Linked DNA regions of Pelodiscus sinensis. The protein of the gene in region 2 binds, or shares a complex with, the protein of the main gene of each other region. Links are inferred from orthologs where the notes say so. Each region holds a gene or a part of one and is shown on either strand. Other genes may lie near its edges.

What was found. The genes of interacting proteins can lie anywhere in the genome.
Region 1: VTI1B (region 2) and BET1L share a complex: the UniProt entries of both Homo sapiens proteins name them as parts of the SNARE complex. The link is inferred for Pelodiscus sinensis from reciprocal best matches to the Homo sapiens genes VTI1B and BET1L.

The regions. Positions count from the first base shown.
Region 1 is NC_134714.1:124,580,597-124,588,368, reverse strand, and holds the start of BET1L (BET1-like protein), read right to left. Parts: upstream 3,109-7,772; 5' UTR 2,969-3,108; coding exon 2,950-2,968; intron 1,064-2,949; coding exon 972-1,063; intron 187-971; coding exon 130-186; intron 1-129. UniProt on the Homo sapiens protein: Vesicle SNARE required for targeting and fusion of retrograde transport vesicles with the Golgi complex. Required for the integrity of the Golgi complex.
Region 2 is NC_134714.1:72,556,516-72,563,628, reverse strand, and holds the start of VTI1B (vesicle transport through interaction with t-SNAREs homolog 1B), read left to right. Parts: upstream 1-4,053; 5' UTR 4,054-4,298; coding exon 4,299-4,413; intron 4,414-7,113. UniProt on the Homo sapiens protein: V-SNARE that mediates vesicle transport pathways through interactions with t-SNAREs on the target membrane. These interactions are proposed to mediate aspects of the specificity of vesicle trafficking and to promote fusion of the lipid bilayers.

The DNA of each region.
Region 1 (7,772 bases), about 52 Mb from region 2:
CCAAACCTAATTGCTACAAAATATTGTGGTGCTGTTTACTGGGCTGCCATGAAACTCAAACAATTACCCCAAATCTTGAGATTCAGCCGAGAAGTTTTCATCGCTTACAGACTTCTATCAGCTGCTTACCGTGCTATCCAGATAGCGGTTTTGTTCCTCAGCATCTTTGTCAATGTCCAGTGCCAGCTACTCAAGAGAGGAAAGCAAGTGTCAGAGTCTCCAAGTGAAATAATTAACTAACACACTGAAAGCTGGTGAAATTCAAGCACACAAACACTCCTACCCATCTCCCACACATATGCACACAATGTGTGTGTTCAGTCAAATGAAAAAAATGGAATGTCAAATACATGGTATTAGTTGCAATAGACATTCCTAAGATCTCTAGTGTCAGAAGTTCAAACTTTTGTATATGAAGTGACCTTGCAAATACTGGGGAAAATGAAAAAGATTCCAGTACGCTGTTAACACTGTAGTCTCTGCATTAAGAAATGAAAGCTAATGTTTTTTCAAGCCAATGGAACTAGTTTAGTCTCAGGAATATTATCCTGAGAGAACAGAGCACTGAGGGAACAGAGCACACACATTTGTCATGAATATTTTAATATGGTTTTATTGAGACCTTCCTCAGATGGCATCCTTAGGACTATATCTTTGCATATTCTTGCCCCTAATCCCTCTACCCATTTATTTACCAAACCTAATTCCTTCTCTGGATGCCACAAAAAATAACCATATTATAAAGGTACAAACTTGTCTAAATCCCAAACAAGGAATGAGGATTTCAATAAAGTTCTCCAGGATGTTCTAACAGCAAAATTTAGTTACCTGACCTGTCATAGACAGTGTGGTACATAAAACGTCTGAACAGCTGAATAAATAAGACAGACCCGTGTAACCGAATACATGTTTTCAACATCCATGATGTAAGACGGTAAAAAAAAAAGAATGAGGTGTAGTTAGTAACTAACCGATTTCAGCCTGGTGACCTTGGTGGCTAGATTGTCTGCCATATGCTTGTTCTCCACATCTAGCATATCATCCACAGCACTCGGACTCTTACCTACAAAAGTTCTATCAGTTATAATACAACAAGTGGCAGTGTATTTACTGGTTAAAATGGTGGAATGGAGTCAGGATTTCTGATTTCTATTTTCAATTCTACCGCTGAGATACCTTGGACAAGTTACTTAACTTTTCTATACCTACATCTGCACAAACTGAAAGTTAACATTCTCGGAGGTGGATTTGTTAATTTTAAATTTGTTCTACAAAATTACTATTTAGAAAACCTCACATGCACAACATGCTTAAACAACAAACTAAAGTGACTCCCTAACCAGAGAGTTATACCCATTGATTCTCCTGCCCCCAAAATTCAAAACTACCAGCAAATCAAACCATCCACACCTATTTTGTACTGACATGCTGCATGCTGTCCTATAGACAAGACCCAAACCAACTACCCATTCCATATTTATCAACCCGGGCCTTGTCCTGCCAACCCACTATCTTACTGACAGGCCCCTCCCCACATCACAGAAGCACCCCATTCCTTTGTGCCACATGCCTCATTGTCCCACTGAGTCCCACCCCCCCAAGACACATCAACCGATACTGCCAGACCACTGGCTGCCCACAGCCTCCCTGCCCACAACCCTGCTCCAACCTCACAGACAGCCCTATTCTACCCTAGCCGGTCACAGCTCCCCGCCAGCCCCCCTTACCCACAGCTCCCAGCCCCGCAACCCCCCGCCAGCCCCCCTTACCCACAGCTCCCTGCCACCCCCCTACCAACAGCTCCCCGCCAGCCCCCCTTACCCACAGCTCCCCGCCCCGCAACCCCCCCGCCAGTCCCCCTTACCAACAGCTCCCGCCCCACAGCTCCCTGCCACCCCCCTACCCACAGCTCCCCGCCCCACAACCCCCCGCCCGTCCCCCTTACCCACAGCTCCCCACCCCACAGCTCCCTGCCACCCCCCCATCCACAGCCCCTCCTGTCCCAGTCACCCCACCCCACAGCTCCCTGCCACCCCCCCTACCCACAGCCCCTCCTGTCCCAGTCACCCCGCCCCACAGCTCCCTGCCACCCCCCCTACCCACAGCCCCTCCTGTCCCAGTCACCCCGCCCCACAGCTCCCTGCCACCCCCCCTACCCACAGCCCCTCCTGTCCCAGTCACCCCGCCCCACAGCTCCCTGCCACCCCCCCTACCCACAGCCCCTCCTGTCCCAGTCACCCCGCCCCACAGCTCCCTGCCACCCCCCCTACCCACAGCTCCCCGCCCCGCAACCCCCCGCCAGCCCCCCTTACCCACAGCTCCCCGCACCACAGCTCCCTGCCACCCCCTACCAACAGCTCCCCTGCCAGCCCCCCTTACCCACAGCTCCCTGCCACCCCCCCCACCCACAGCTCCCCGCCCCACAGCTCCCTGCCACCCCCTACCAACAGCTCCCCGCCAGCCCCCCTTACCCACAGCTCCCTGCCACCCCCCCACCCACAGCTCCCCGCCCCGCAACCCCCCGCCCGTCCCCCTTACCCACAGCTCCCCGCCCCACAGCTCCCTGCCACCCCCCCTATCCCAGTCACCCCGCCCCACAGCTCCCTGCCACCCCCTACCAACAGCTCCCCGCCAGCCCCCCTTACCCACAGCTCCCTGCCACCCCCCCACCCACAGCTCCCCGCCCCGCAACCCCCCGCCCGTCCCCCTTACCCACAGCTCCCCGCCCCACAGCTCCCTGCCACCCCCCCTATCCCAGTCACCCCGCCCCACAGCTCCCCACCAGCCCCCCTGATCTCTGCCCCCCTCCCCCTGCGTCACCAAACCCGTCTCAAGCCCCTGCCTGGCCCCGCCCCGCTGTTCCTTCTCCCCGGGCCCGGCGCGAGGGCGGTGGCGGGGCCCGGGGCTCCCGTTGCAGCGGGACCGCGCGCGGCGCCCGGCCGGGCTCACCTCGGCCCCAGTCCGCCATGGCCGCGTCCTGCCTGCGCGTCCGGCCGGCGGCTCCGGGAGGAGGAGGAGGACCGGGAAGGGGGGGGGAGGGGCGCAGTGACTCCGCCTCGCGGGGCGGGGCCTCCACTGCCCCCAGCTGCTGGGGCGGAGACCGGGGGCTGGGCTCAGCCCCGCGCGCTAGAGGCGCCGGGCGAGAACGAGGCCGGGCCCTGCTGTCCGAGCAGCCGTGCGCGTGCGCCACACCCACCGCAGGGGCTGCAGCCCGCCCACACCCCGCCCGGCTGTCCCGTTTCTTTGGGCTTTGCGTTCACACGGGGCCACCCCACGGGCTCCCTTTTCAACCTGAGTGCAATGGGCTTTTGTCCGGGCTCCTAACGTCGGAGGGAAAACATGGGGAGGTTTATTAGGGTTGCTAATGAATGGCAGTGTTAACTCTCCTAATTAACTCAATGGATTAAAATCATCCTGCTTAATCACCACTTGACAGCACGCAGTGAACCTGTGGAACTCCTTGCAGAAGGATGTCGTGAAGGCCTGGACTTTAACAGGGTTAAAAAAAACCTGATACATTCATGGAGGTTAATCTATAAATTATTATCAGCGGCTGGAAATGGATGACAGGAGAGGGATACATTGATGATTCCCTGGTCTGGTCACCCCCTCCGGAGCACCTGGCATTGGCTGCTGTGGGAAGGCGGGATACTGGGCTAGTTGGACCTTAAGTCTGACCCAGTATGGCCATTCTTTTTTTCATTCTTATCTCACTGGACATGTATTAAATATTTGTGGATGTTTTCTTACCTTTTCAAATACACTGATTTCAATTACCACACAACACAGGCTGTATAGTGCTCACTTTATATTATTTTATTATAAATATTTGCATTGTAAAAATAGCCCAGCACATGTCGTTTGTTTTAAGAACATTTTCACTACAGATTTGACAAAACAGGAAGAAGGCACCAATGTGAGATTTCTAAAGAGAGCTACAACACTCCAAGGTTTAAGAGTCTGAAGTGCTTTCCAAAATCTGAGTGGACTAAAGTGTGGTGCATGCTTTCAGAAGTCTTAAAAGTGCAACATACCAATGCAGAAATGGCAGAATCCAACCACCACCAAAAAAAATCAACCTTCTGCTATTGACATCTGATTCAGATGAAGAAAATGAATATGCATCAGTCTACACTGTTTCGTATCATTATCAAGCAGATCCTGTGAACAAGAAATGGGCAGCAGTTCTCTTGCAAATGTAAACAAACTTGTTGAGTGATTGGCTGGACAAGAAATAGGACTGAGTGAACTTGTAGACTCTTATGCCTGGTAGTTACTATTAACATAACTGGAGCACCAAGAATGGACAACTAGCAAGATGGGATGGAAAAGAAAAACAGCAATTGAACATTGACATTTAGCACATACCTTGTTATCTTCATGTTTGCTATTTTATACTTAATAGCTTAAATATTACACAATATTAAATGAAATATTTTTTAAAAAGCTAATAGGATAAAATCATAGTCAAAGAATAGGTTTGCCCAGCCCCACTTGATTGTTTTGCTTTAGGGATTTCTTTCATCTGACTTTCTCCGGACAATGGGAGAGGAAAAGATTTTACATTGTTTTATTTCTGAACACAGTTATTTTTATACATAATTCTACCTTGAGTTCAACTTTCATGATAGAGATTGCATTTCAGCACTTGTATGAGGTGAATTAAAAAATACTATTTTTAACAGCACAAATATTTGTAATCACACTTAAAGCCAGCCCTGTACTCTGATGTGTTGAAAGTGAAATCAATATATTTGTAGAAAAACATCAACATATTTAAATAAATAACATTAAATTATTTAACAGTGTGATTAATCACGATTAAACATTTAATCACTTGAGAGCCCTAATGTTTGCATTACAAATAAGGTTTCAATTAAACGGAAAGCATTTCTGTAGCTTATTTTAATAAAGTTAACATCCTGGCCTAAACTTCCTGTGTCTGTTTCACACAACAACATATTATTTATTTAGCCCTTGAGCCTGCAATTTGATCCATGTGAGCAGCCACCTGGGCCTGCTGAGAAGCATGCAAAGATCCAGTAATGGGGAATAAATGGCGGGATCTAGGCGTTAGCTTCATCAGTAGGACCACTCAGGGAGGAAGGTAGTGTGCCTGGTAGCTAGTATTAACACAACTGGAGCACCAAGAATGAACAGCTAGCCAGAAGGGATGGAACCGAAAAACAGCGATTGGGCAGTGACATTTAGCACATTCCTTCTTATTTCTATGTTTGCTATTTTATACTTAACAGCTTAAATATTACACAAAATTCAATGAAATATTTTAAAAAAACAATAGGAGAAAAACATAGTCAAAGAACAGGTTTGCCCAGCCCCGCTTAATTATTTTGCTCTAAGAATTTCTTTCATCTGACTCCCACCAGACAATGGAGAGGAGACGATTTTTCTTTGTCATTAATCCTGCCAGAGAAGGGTGGATGATCAGCACCTAAAATATTTCCATATTGCATCCGTTGTTGAAAATTCTTATGGCTGATCGCAGGAAGCTATCTCTGCCCCTCCCCCGATTTCCAAACCTCCAGTAATACAGCGTTTCTTTTGTCTGTACTACTGTATCGTCTTCTCTCTCCGACCTGTTGCAATCCCCACCCCCATTCTGAATCGGTTGTCGGATGTCAGCACGGTCCTAACTTCCGTATGAGTTACATAGACTCTTTCCCTCCACCCTTGGACAGTGGGGAGGCGGGAAGAGAGATTAAGACCTTCCCCAGTTGGTGCCCCATCCCTGAACCCTGGGAACAGCATCCCGACAGGGTAAATGCTATCACATTCCACCCTGAGCCGGCCGGCCAGCGTTCGAGCTTGCAAAATCCAGCTTTTTTTAAACAAAGCAGCTGCCTGCACAAATCGCTTACATTGGAGAGATGGGGGAGAGACAAGCTGCAGTGTTCAGGAAATAAAGCAAGAAACCTAAGCAAGGAAAACTAAAGTAAAGGTAATGTGCTTATTATATTTTCTATGTAACATCTATTAGCTCCTACTATTTGTTTACACTCCTTTTCTTTACTCTGGAAGGTAGAGCTGTTTTAACCAGTTTAGCAACGTTTTATCGTTTAAAATAAAGCTAATCTGATAATTATTGCCATGGTATAATCTATTTGTTAGTCTCTTAGGGGCCACAGAACTGCTGTTGTTTTTTTAAATTACAGACTAACAGGGCTACCCCTCTGAAAACTGTTATAATAGTTATTGTTAATTGTTTCAGGACATTTTGCTTCTGTGACCATCCCTCAGTATTGAAGAGGTACGGTCTCTACTTTTAGCAAATTAGTTATCATTTGTCCCATCCTGTCCTTCCAAATTGATGAGGATTTCTGTAAAGACTGATTTACTATGAAAGATGAAAAGACAGAAATGTGTATGACTACAGGCCCTGAACCTGCAAAGGCATTACCCCCATGCAGAATTTTTAGGAGTCCAGTTGATTTGAAAGGACTGCTCACAGAACTAAAGTTAAGTTCAGGTGTAATTGGTGCAGAATTGGAACTAGAGGGAGCAGCACAAAGACCAGCATCTATACATTTTTGGTGGATGTGGGCATCAAAAAGAGACTGGTATTGGGTGGGGAGAACTTCTCATGAGTTAAACAGAAAAATGCAAGATGAAAAACAGGAACAAAATCCAAATAGCGAGGTTTGAGAGAAGTGTTCTAGTCCCATGGGAAGTGCTAGAAGCTTGGAGTTGGAAGGAAAGTACATTGTCGTGAACAATCCTGTATTGGCCCAAAGGGGGTGGATTAGAGATGAGCTGCCTTTTTCAGCTTTAATGTCTACATTTCCATGGGATCTCTTTTGAGGAGTTTGGGGTTTTATTGTGGTTTTGAGAGCTGTGTTCCTCTCTGTCTTCCTCAGCCGTCCTAGTAGCTTGCAAACTTCAGGGGGAGCATCATGCTGGGCAGCCAGTAGGCACCCTTAAACTTTATTGTGACAGTGCCATAGAATTGGTGCCCACCACGCAATGAGTTTCAGGTGGAGCTTCTGAATTGGGGTGGGGAGAGAGGTGTATGGGACTTGTCTCAAGACCTTGGCTTTATTGGGGGATTTACACCCTCAATATTTAGTGCAGAATTGAAATCTAGCTATAGAAAATATTACCCTACACAGCCTTATGGAATCATATTCAATAGTGTAGTATATTAACAATCTCTCTCAGCGCTGTCCGTCAACAAAGTGCTTTACAACCAGCCAAATGCCTAGCCCCAAAGAATCTATGAGTATTATTGGCATATAAATGCACATCTAATTATTTACTATAATTGTAAAACACATTCGTGTCAGGAATGATAGAAGCCCGCTGCCCCTATGTTGGACAACAGTGGCCTTTTATCCATCAAGCCAGGCATTTTTATAATGCATTTGGCATATTCATCTTCCCCAGTTACAGACCTACACAGATGCCTCAGAGTGCTAGATTCTTTCGTAAACAAACAAAACAAAATTAAAGTGCTTTCAGTTGACGGACTTCTTCGTGCCACCTTAAAGGACAGCTCCACCTTAACCCAGCCTGCATGGGGCTTGTCTGTCTGTCTTGCTCTCTTGTGCATCTCTTTTATTCCACAAAGAAATTTCTGGGTTTTTGCTGTGCAGGAACAGAAATCAGGACAGTGGGTGGAAGGGGAGGGCTGCAGGGAGCTGCAGTTATCTGTTCTGTGTTAATCTTCCCACTGAGGAAGGGAGGGGGGTTTCCTAAGTGCGTTGGTGGGAGGGTGTTTATTAAACATTGGAAAGTAAAGAGAGGGAGAGAGAGGA
Region 2 (7,113 bases):
CAGAGGAAGGCGAAAAACCTCCAGGGTCTCTGCCAATCTACCCTGGAGGAAAATTCCTTCCCGGCCCCAAATATGGTGATCAGCTAAACCCTGAGCATGTGGGCAAGACTCACCAGCCAGACACCCAGAAAGTTCTCTATAGTAGTAACTCCTATCATCCCTCCATTGACCTATTTCCTACTGATAATGAATGGTCAATTAGTTACCAAGATCATGTTATCTCATCAAACCATCCCCTTCATAAACCCATCTAGTTTAATCTTGAAACCAGATAGATCTTTTGCCCCCACTACTTCCCTTGGAAGGCCGTTCCAGAACCTCACTCCTCTAATGGTTAGAAACCTTCGTCTAATCTCAAATCTAAACTTCCTACTAGCCAGCTTATATACAGGCAGTCCCCGAGTTACGCGGATCCGACTTTCTGCACTTACGAACGGGGCTTTCTCGCCCCGGAGCTCGCAGGCAGCGGGACCGCCCAGAGCACAGCGGTCCTGCCACCTCGACCTCCGGGGCGAGAAAAGCTGCTCCGGGTGCCTCTGGTCTGCTGGGGACCGTCTCCAGCAGACCAGGGACACCGGGAGCAAAGCCGCAGTGGCGGCGGAGTCCCGCGCCTCCCCAGCTTTGCTCCGGGTGTCCCTGGTCTGCTGGGGACTGTCTCCAGCAGACCAGGGACACCGGGAGCAAAGCCGCGGCGGCGGCGGGGTCCCGCGCCTCTGAGGCTTTGCCAGAGCAAAGCCTCAGAGGCGCGGCACCCCGCCACCACTGCGGCTTTGCTCCCTGTGTCCCTGGTCTGCTGGGGGGGGCGCAGCTAGTGCGCCCCCCCCAGCAGACCAGGCTTTTGTTGTGGACCCTGGGGTAGAGCAGCTGGGGTGCTGCCGGGTTGGTCCTGCAGGGACCTACCTGGCAGCCCAGCTGTTCTGTCCCAGGCTCGAGATTCAGCCGCTGTTGAAACTGATCAGTGGCTGATTCCAGGAAGCTGGGGGCAGAGCAATTCTGCCTCCAGCTTCCTGTAGTTAGCCCCTGGTCAGTTTCGGCAGCAGCGGCTGAATCTGGGGCCAGTTCCGACTTACATAGAAATTCAACTTAAGAACAAACCTATAGTCCCTATCTTGTACGTAACCCGGGGACTGCCTGTACATTTGTTCTTGTATCCACATTGGTATTAAGCTTAAATAATTCCTCTCCCTCCCTGGTATTTATCCCTCTAATATATTTAAAGAGTGCAATCATGTCCCCCCTTCAGCCTTCTTTTGGTTAAGGTAAACAAGCCAAGCTCCGTGAGTCTCCTTTCATAAGACAGGTTTTCCATCCCTCGGATCATCCTAGTGGCCCTTCTTTGTACCTGTTCCAGTTTGAATTCATCCTTCTTAAACATGGGAGACCAGAATTGCACACAGTATTCCAAATGGGGTCTCACCAATGCCTTGTATAATGGCACTAACACCTCCTTATCCCTACTGGAAATACCTCGCCTAATACATCCCAAGACCGTATTAGCCTTTTTCATGGCCATGTCACAATGGCAGCTCATAGTCATCCTATAATCAACCAGGACTCTGAGGTCCTTCTCCTCCTCCGTTACTTCCAACTGATGTGTCCCCAGCTTATAACTAAAATTCTTGTTATTAATCCCTAAATGCATAACCGTACACTTCTCACTATCAAATTTCATCCTATTGCTATCATTCCAATTTACAAGATCATCCAGATCTTCCTGTATGATATCCCGATCCTTTTCTGAATTGGCAGTAGCTCCCAACTTTGTGTCATCTGCAAATTTTATCAGGAGACTTCCACTTTTGGTGCCAAGGTCAGCAATAAAAAGATTAAATAAAATTGGCCCCAAAACTGATCCCTGAGGAACTCCGCTAGTAACCTTCCTCCAACCTGACAGTTCACCTTTCAGTATGACCCACTGTAGTCTCCCCTTTAACCAGTTGCTTATCCACCTCTCAACTTTCATATTAATCCCTATCTTTTCCAATTTAACCAATAATTCCCCATGTGGTACTGTATCAAATGCCTTATTAAAGTCGAGGTAGATTAGATCCACTGCATTTCCTTTATCTAAAAAATCTGTTACTTTCTCAAAGAAGGAGATCAGATTGGTTTGGCACGATCTACCTTTTGTAAAACCATGTTGTAATTTGTCCCAATTGCTATTAGCCTCAATGTCTCTAACTACTTTCTCCTTCAAAATTTTTTCCAAGATCTTGCATGTCAAATTAACAGGCCTATAGTTGCCCGGGTCGCTTTTTTTCCCTTTCTTAAAAATAGGAACTATATTAGCAATTCTCCAGTCAAATGGTACAACCCCTGAGTTTAGAGATTTATTAAAAAATGTTGCTAATGGACTTGCAAGTTCATGTGCCAGTTCCTTTAATATTCTTGGATGAAGATTATCTGGACCCCCCGATTTACTCCCATTAAGCTGTTCAAGTTTGGCTCTAACATCCTAGCATGGCAGATGAGGCCATAACAGGCAATGTGATGGCAAGTATGTGGCTGGAAATTTAAAAAGGTTATTGTGCAGCTGTAAGCTTGGGTTGGTGTGTACTATCTCCAATATCTTGCTAGTGGCAATCTCGCATCTGATATTATTGCTCAGAATTGGGAGCCCTCGGAGTAGAGTTGAACAGAGTGCCAGAGATGATATGCATGGTGGCATATAACTGCATATCCACCTATTTGGTGTGTGACGATTGACTCCATAATGGTGTACAGTACTCCACCACCAAATACAAGGCACTGGCGAGAGCAATGGATACTTTATAATTTCTAACCAGTCCTTCGTCGCTGATCCCACAATTTGCTTGCCTGGTTTTGACTGCCCCATTGTCAGTGATCCCTATTGAATAGGTTCCGGACTGAGCAAGGTCTCTGTGCAGCCAATCATTATCACTGTGGCCTTCGGAAAAGTCCTTTGAGCAGCTGCAGCATAACACAGACAATGAAACATGTTGTCTTTGAATGCCTGGTGGCTAGGTTCAGTGGTGATGTAGAAGAACAGCATCATGCCACTGAAGATGCCATTGCTTGGCTTAGAAGACTATGCACATACTAAATAAATAAATAAATAATCTATGTACTGTATCTGTCTGCTCCGTGGACAGGAGAATTCAGTATCCAGATCTGCCAAGCCAGCACCTGAATTAGGTTCATATACATACAAAGCTACTACTGCTTTGGATGACACAACATAACAAACTCAACATATTGGGTTTCTCCGTGGCTGCTGGTGTGTGCACATTTTGCTCTTGGATGTACTTGTAGGGCAGTACTCTTGTACATTTTCCCTCCCTTGCCTGCACAAAGGGATGGAGTCATAAGTGACTTGTGGTAGCACTTGAACCTCTATGCCCCAGCCAACATTTTAATTGCTAAATGGGGTGCCCACACATGCCCCCTCTCATCCCGGCCTCGAGGTGGCCCTTCCTATACCCCACAGCACAGGAGCCAACGGGCTCACCAGGCCCCTAGGCAAGGCAAGGGGGGAGGACAGCTCCCTCTCCCGTCAATGGCCGGTCCCACAGGCACCCTGCTCTAGCGCCTGTGACAGAAGCCCCCAGGATCAGTGGTAGCAGCTAGGGATCTGAAATCCCATGTAATCAGTGAACCGCCTTAACGGGATGGGGGAAGGGGGCTGGCTGCTCCAGCCGAGCTCGGCTGCCCGTTAACGGCTGACATCCCTAGCAGCAGCGCGCGGCGAGAGGACGCTTCACTGGCACGGTCGGGTTTGCAAACTTAAATTGGGAGGAGGGACCCACCCGAAAATCCCCGCGCTCCCATGTGACCCTCCCCACAGCTGCCCTGCACTGCCTGAGGCGTGTGCCCGGGCCCACAGCGGCGCCGCTGGCGAGAGCGCCCTCACGCGCAGGCGCTGCCAGACTGAACGCATCCGGCAGCTATCGGCGTCCAAGGGGCAATCTTACTGGATGGGAGCAATCCCAGAGACTACACTTCCCGGCATGCCGTGCGCGGCTCGGAGGATGGCGCCTCCCCTTTGGGGTGGCAGCGACTATGCCTGCTCCGTAGAACGGCGCTAGCCCCATTGGCGAGCGGAGATTCGGGCTCCACATGTGGCTCTAGCAAGGCGAGAACCTCGTGGCCAGAGGGCCGCTGCCCGCGGTGCCGAGCGACTGATCATCAGGCGCCATGTGGGCAACCCCCTGGGCGGGACGAGGCACTGGGATGGGGAGGCCCCGACTCGCGTCCCGGAAGTGCCTGTGAGGAGGGGGCGATGAGCCCGGACCCCTAGTAGCAGGCGAGAGGGCCGGGACACGACAGCAGCTGCCGCCATGGCGGGTCGGGGCTCCGGCTCCTCCGAGCATTTCGAGCGGCTGCACGAGATCTTCGGGGGGCTGCACAAGCAGCTGCGAGGCGCCCCGGAGAGACTGCGGGGGAGCGCGGCCGGTGAGGGAGCGCGCGCGCGCGGCCGTTATTGCTTAGGAGCGGGAGACCCCCCCCCCCCGAGTCTGTCTGGCGGGGGGGCGGCGCAGGGTCATTGGCATCCTTATTAGAGGCCAAGAACTGAACGGGACGTGCAAATTGAGGTCTGACCCTTAAGATCAGGCGTCTCAGACTCTGCCCGGGAGCCATTTGTGGCCCGAGTAGTTCCATAATCTGTGCTGCTCCGTGAGTCCCCCATCGCACCCTCTCCCTCAAGCCTCTTCCCCCAAAGGACGCAGCCCTGGTGATTTCCAGTAGAGCTGGTATGTGATGGCAGCAGCCATCGCCTCCCCACACTCACCGCGGCAGAGCAGCACAGCTCTCTGCTCTGCCCGCCACCACCTCTCCGCTTCACCTTGGAGGCAGCAAAAAGGAGTTCCCCAGCCCCAATGAAGGCTGGCTACTATGTAGCTTTGCTTTACTACGACTCCCACTCCTGAGGTGAATGGCGGGGGGGGAGGGGGGGGAATACTGCTGCTGCCAGCTGTAGCCCATCCAGGGCCCTGCAGGCTAATCTGAGTATGGGGGACCATCCTGTCCATAAGGTAGTCCCACTGACATCACTGCACTTACGTTATGTAAATTCTTGTATACTTTGGGCCTTTGGCTTAAGTGTCAGCACAAACATGAAACATATGCAATGTAGGGCTGTTAAAATGCATTTATTTAGGTAAATGTGTAATTGCTGAAATTTTCAGCAATTACACATTTACATGCAAGGTGGGAGGCAGCTCCTTCCCCGCCCCCACTGCTGCCTTGTATCTGAGGCAGCAGAGTGGGGGCAGGTGTCTCCCTGTTTGCACTAGCTCCCATCTGCCAGCAGTTGGGGGGAGGGGAAAGGAGCTGCATGTAACTGTGAAGGTTAACCGATGATCCCAGGCCCATTCCCTTCTGAAACACTAGAATCTTGCTTAAAGTAGGGATGTGAATAGTTAATTAGTAAGCATCAATCTATTGAAATGTTATGGACTCCCTAAACAATATAGCTGTGCCTGCAGCCTGCACGTCCCTTAGCCCAAGCTGCTTTCTGAGCCGCATCCCTCAGCCCGCTCGGGAAGCAATGCAGGCTGAAGGACATGCTGGCTGCAGTAGGCTCTGTACATTTATTTTAATTTCTACTTTAAACTTTCTGCAGACCCCCCTACAGTACTGTTGCAGACCACCAGGGGTCTGCTGACAACAGGTTGGGAACAACTGGGTTAAACATAACATTTAACCAGTTAATTAATTAATTAAACATAAATTTATATCCCTAGCTTAAAGGCCACTATCTAGTCAACTGAATTAATAATGAAGAGTTAAAAGCAGTTTCTAAGTCTTCTAGGCAATTTTTGTAGTTTTACTGCTACGTTTTCTTATTTTTAAATGATTTCCTCTTTCCTGTTGCTGTGGGAGACCACATAATCTACAGAAGATTTCTAAAGTGAAACACTGTGCTGCTGTTAAATGTAAAAAGTAATCCTGGAAAAATGAGCTTTTTTTTCTAATTTTTGAGTTTTACTGTTTGATCTAGCTAGCAGATACTGGTAAGTAGGTGAAATGATTTCTAATGGAAGAATCTCTCTAAAAGTTGATGGTGGCCTTTTAATTCATCTGGTGAATGCTGGTTATATTGGGGGGAAAAGGGAAGTGACCTGACAAAGGAATGTTAGCAATATAAATGAATTTCCTCACAATCAGGAAGCTCCCTTTCTTTTCAGAAGTGTGACACCGAAGTCTACTCAGCTGATATCTATTCTTTGCCAGAAGAGTGAATAAGGCAAAATATTCCTTGTTCTTTGGCACTTGTTAGTCATGTGACCACCAGGATTAATTATAGTAATTCTCTGTACTTAATATGTAAGCATCAAACTCATAAAAACTTTGTTGTTTAGAATCCAGTAGCTCCTATGCTCAGTCTCCTAGGCTGTTGAGAACACAACACTGCAGTGTTCAACTGACAAGTGGCTCCCCATTAAATACTGAGTTGAACTCAAAGTCTGTGTTCTCTTCTTTGAAATTCTCCATAAAATTGTCCCAAGAATTACTTCATGTAGTATGATGATGACCTTCCAAAATGGCAATATTCTACTGGACACAGTATATTATTATCATCAAGAATGGATCACAAATATGGACTTGCTTGATATTGAAACTGACTGCAAAACTCAAGTTACTTACAATCTAGCCTTCCCTCCCAAAACCCCTATAAATCTATCTTTTGCTGCTTTGCTGTATGGAAGAGTGAGAAATGACTCATCACTTTATAATTTTGGGAGGCACTCTGATACCAAAGTGAGGGGAACAAAGAAAGCACTTAAATAGAACACTATCCCACGTTCAAAATTAGAACAGAACAGTAAGCAGGAAGCTGATTTAACTGTATAGTGCAATTTTAAAAGGTAATTTTATGAATAGTGGTCATGGAAGTTTGTCAGTAAAATAGTGTCATTAAAGTTGCATGAAAAACTGAGGGAGGGTCTGAAGAAATGAGTTGCTGCTATTAAGGCTAATCAGTTTAATTGTTGCCAAGCAATTTTTGAAATTCTTATTAAGGATAATTTTCAGTTGTAAATGCTATAAATCATTGCTCAAACCAGGAAAATCCCCAAGAATGATTTCAAAAATAATTTGCAAGAAATTTTGTGGGACTTGAGGAAGGTCCCCATATGGGGTAAGTAAATT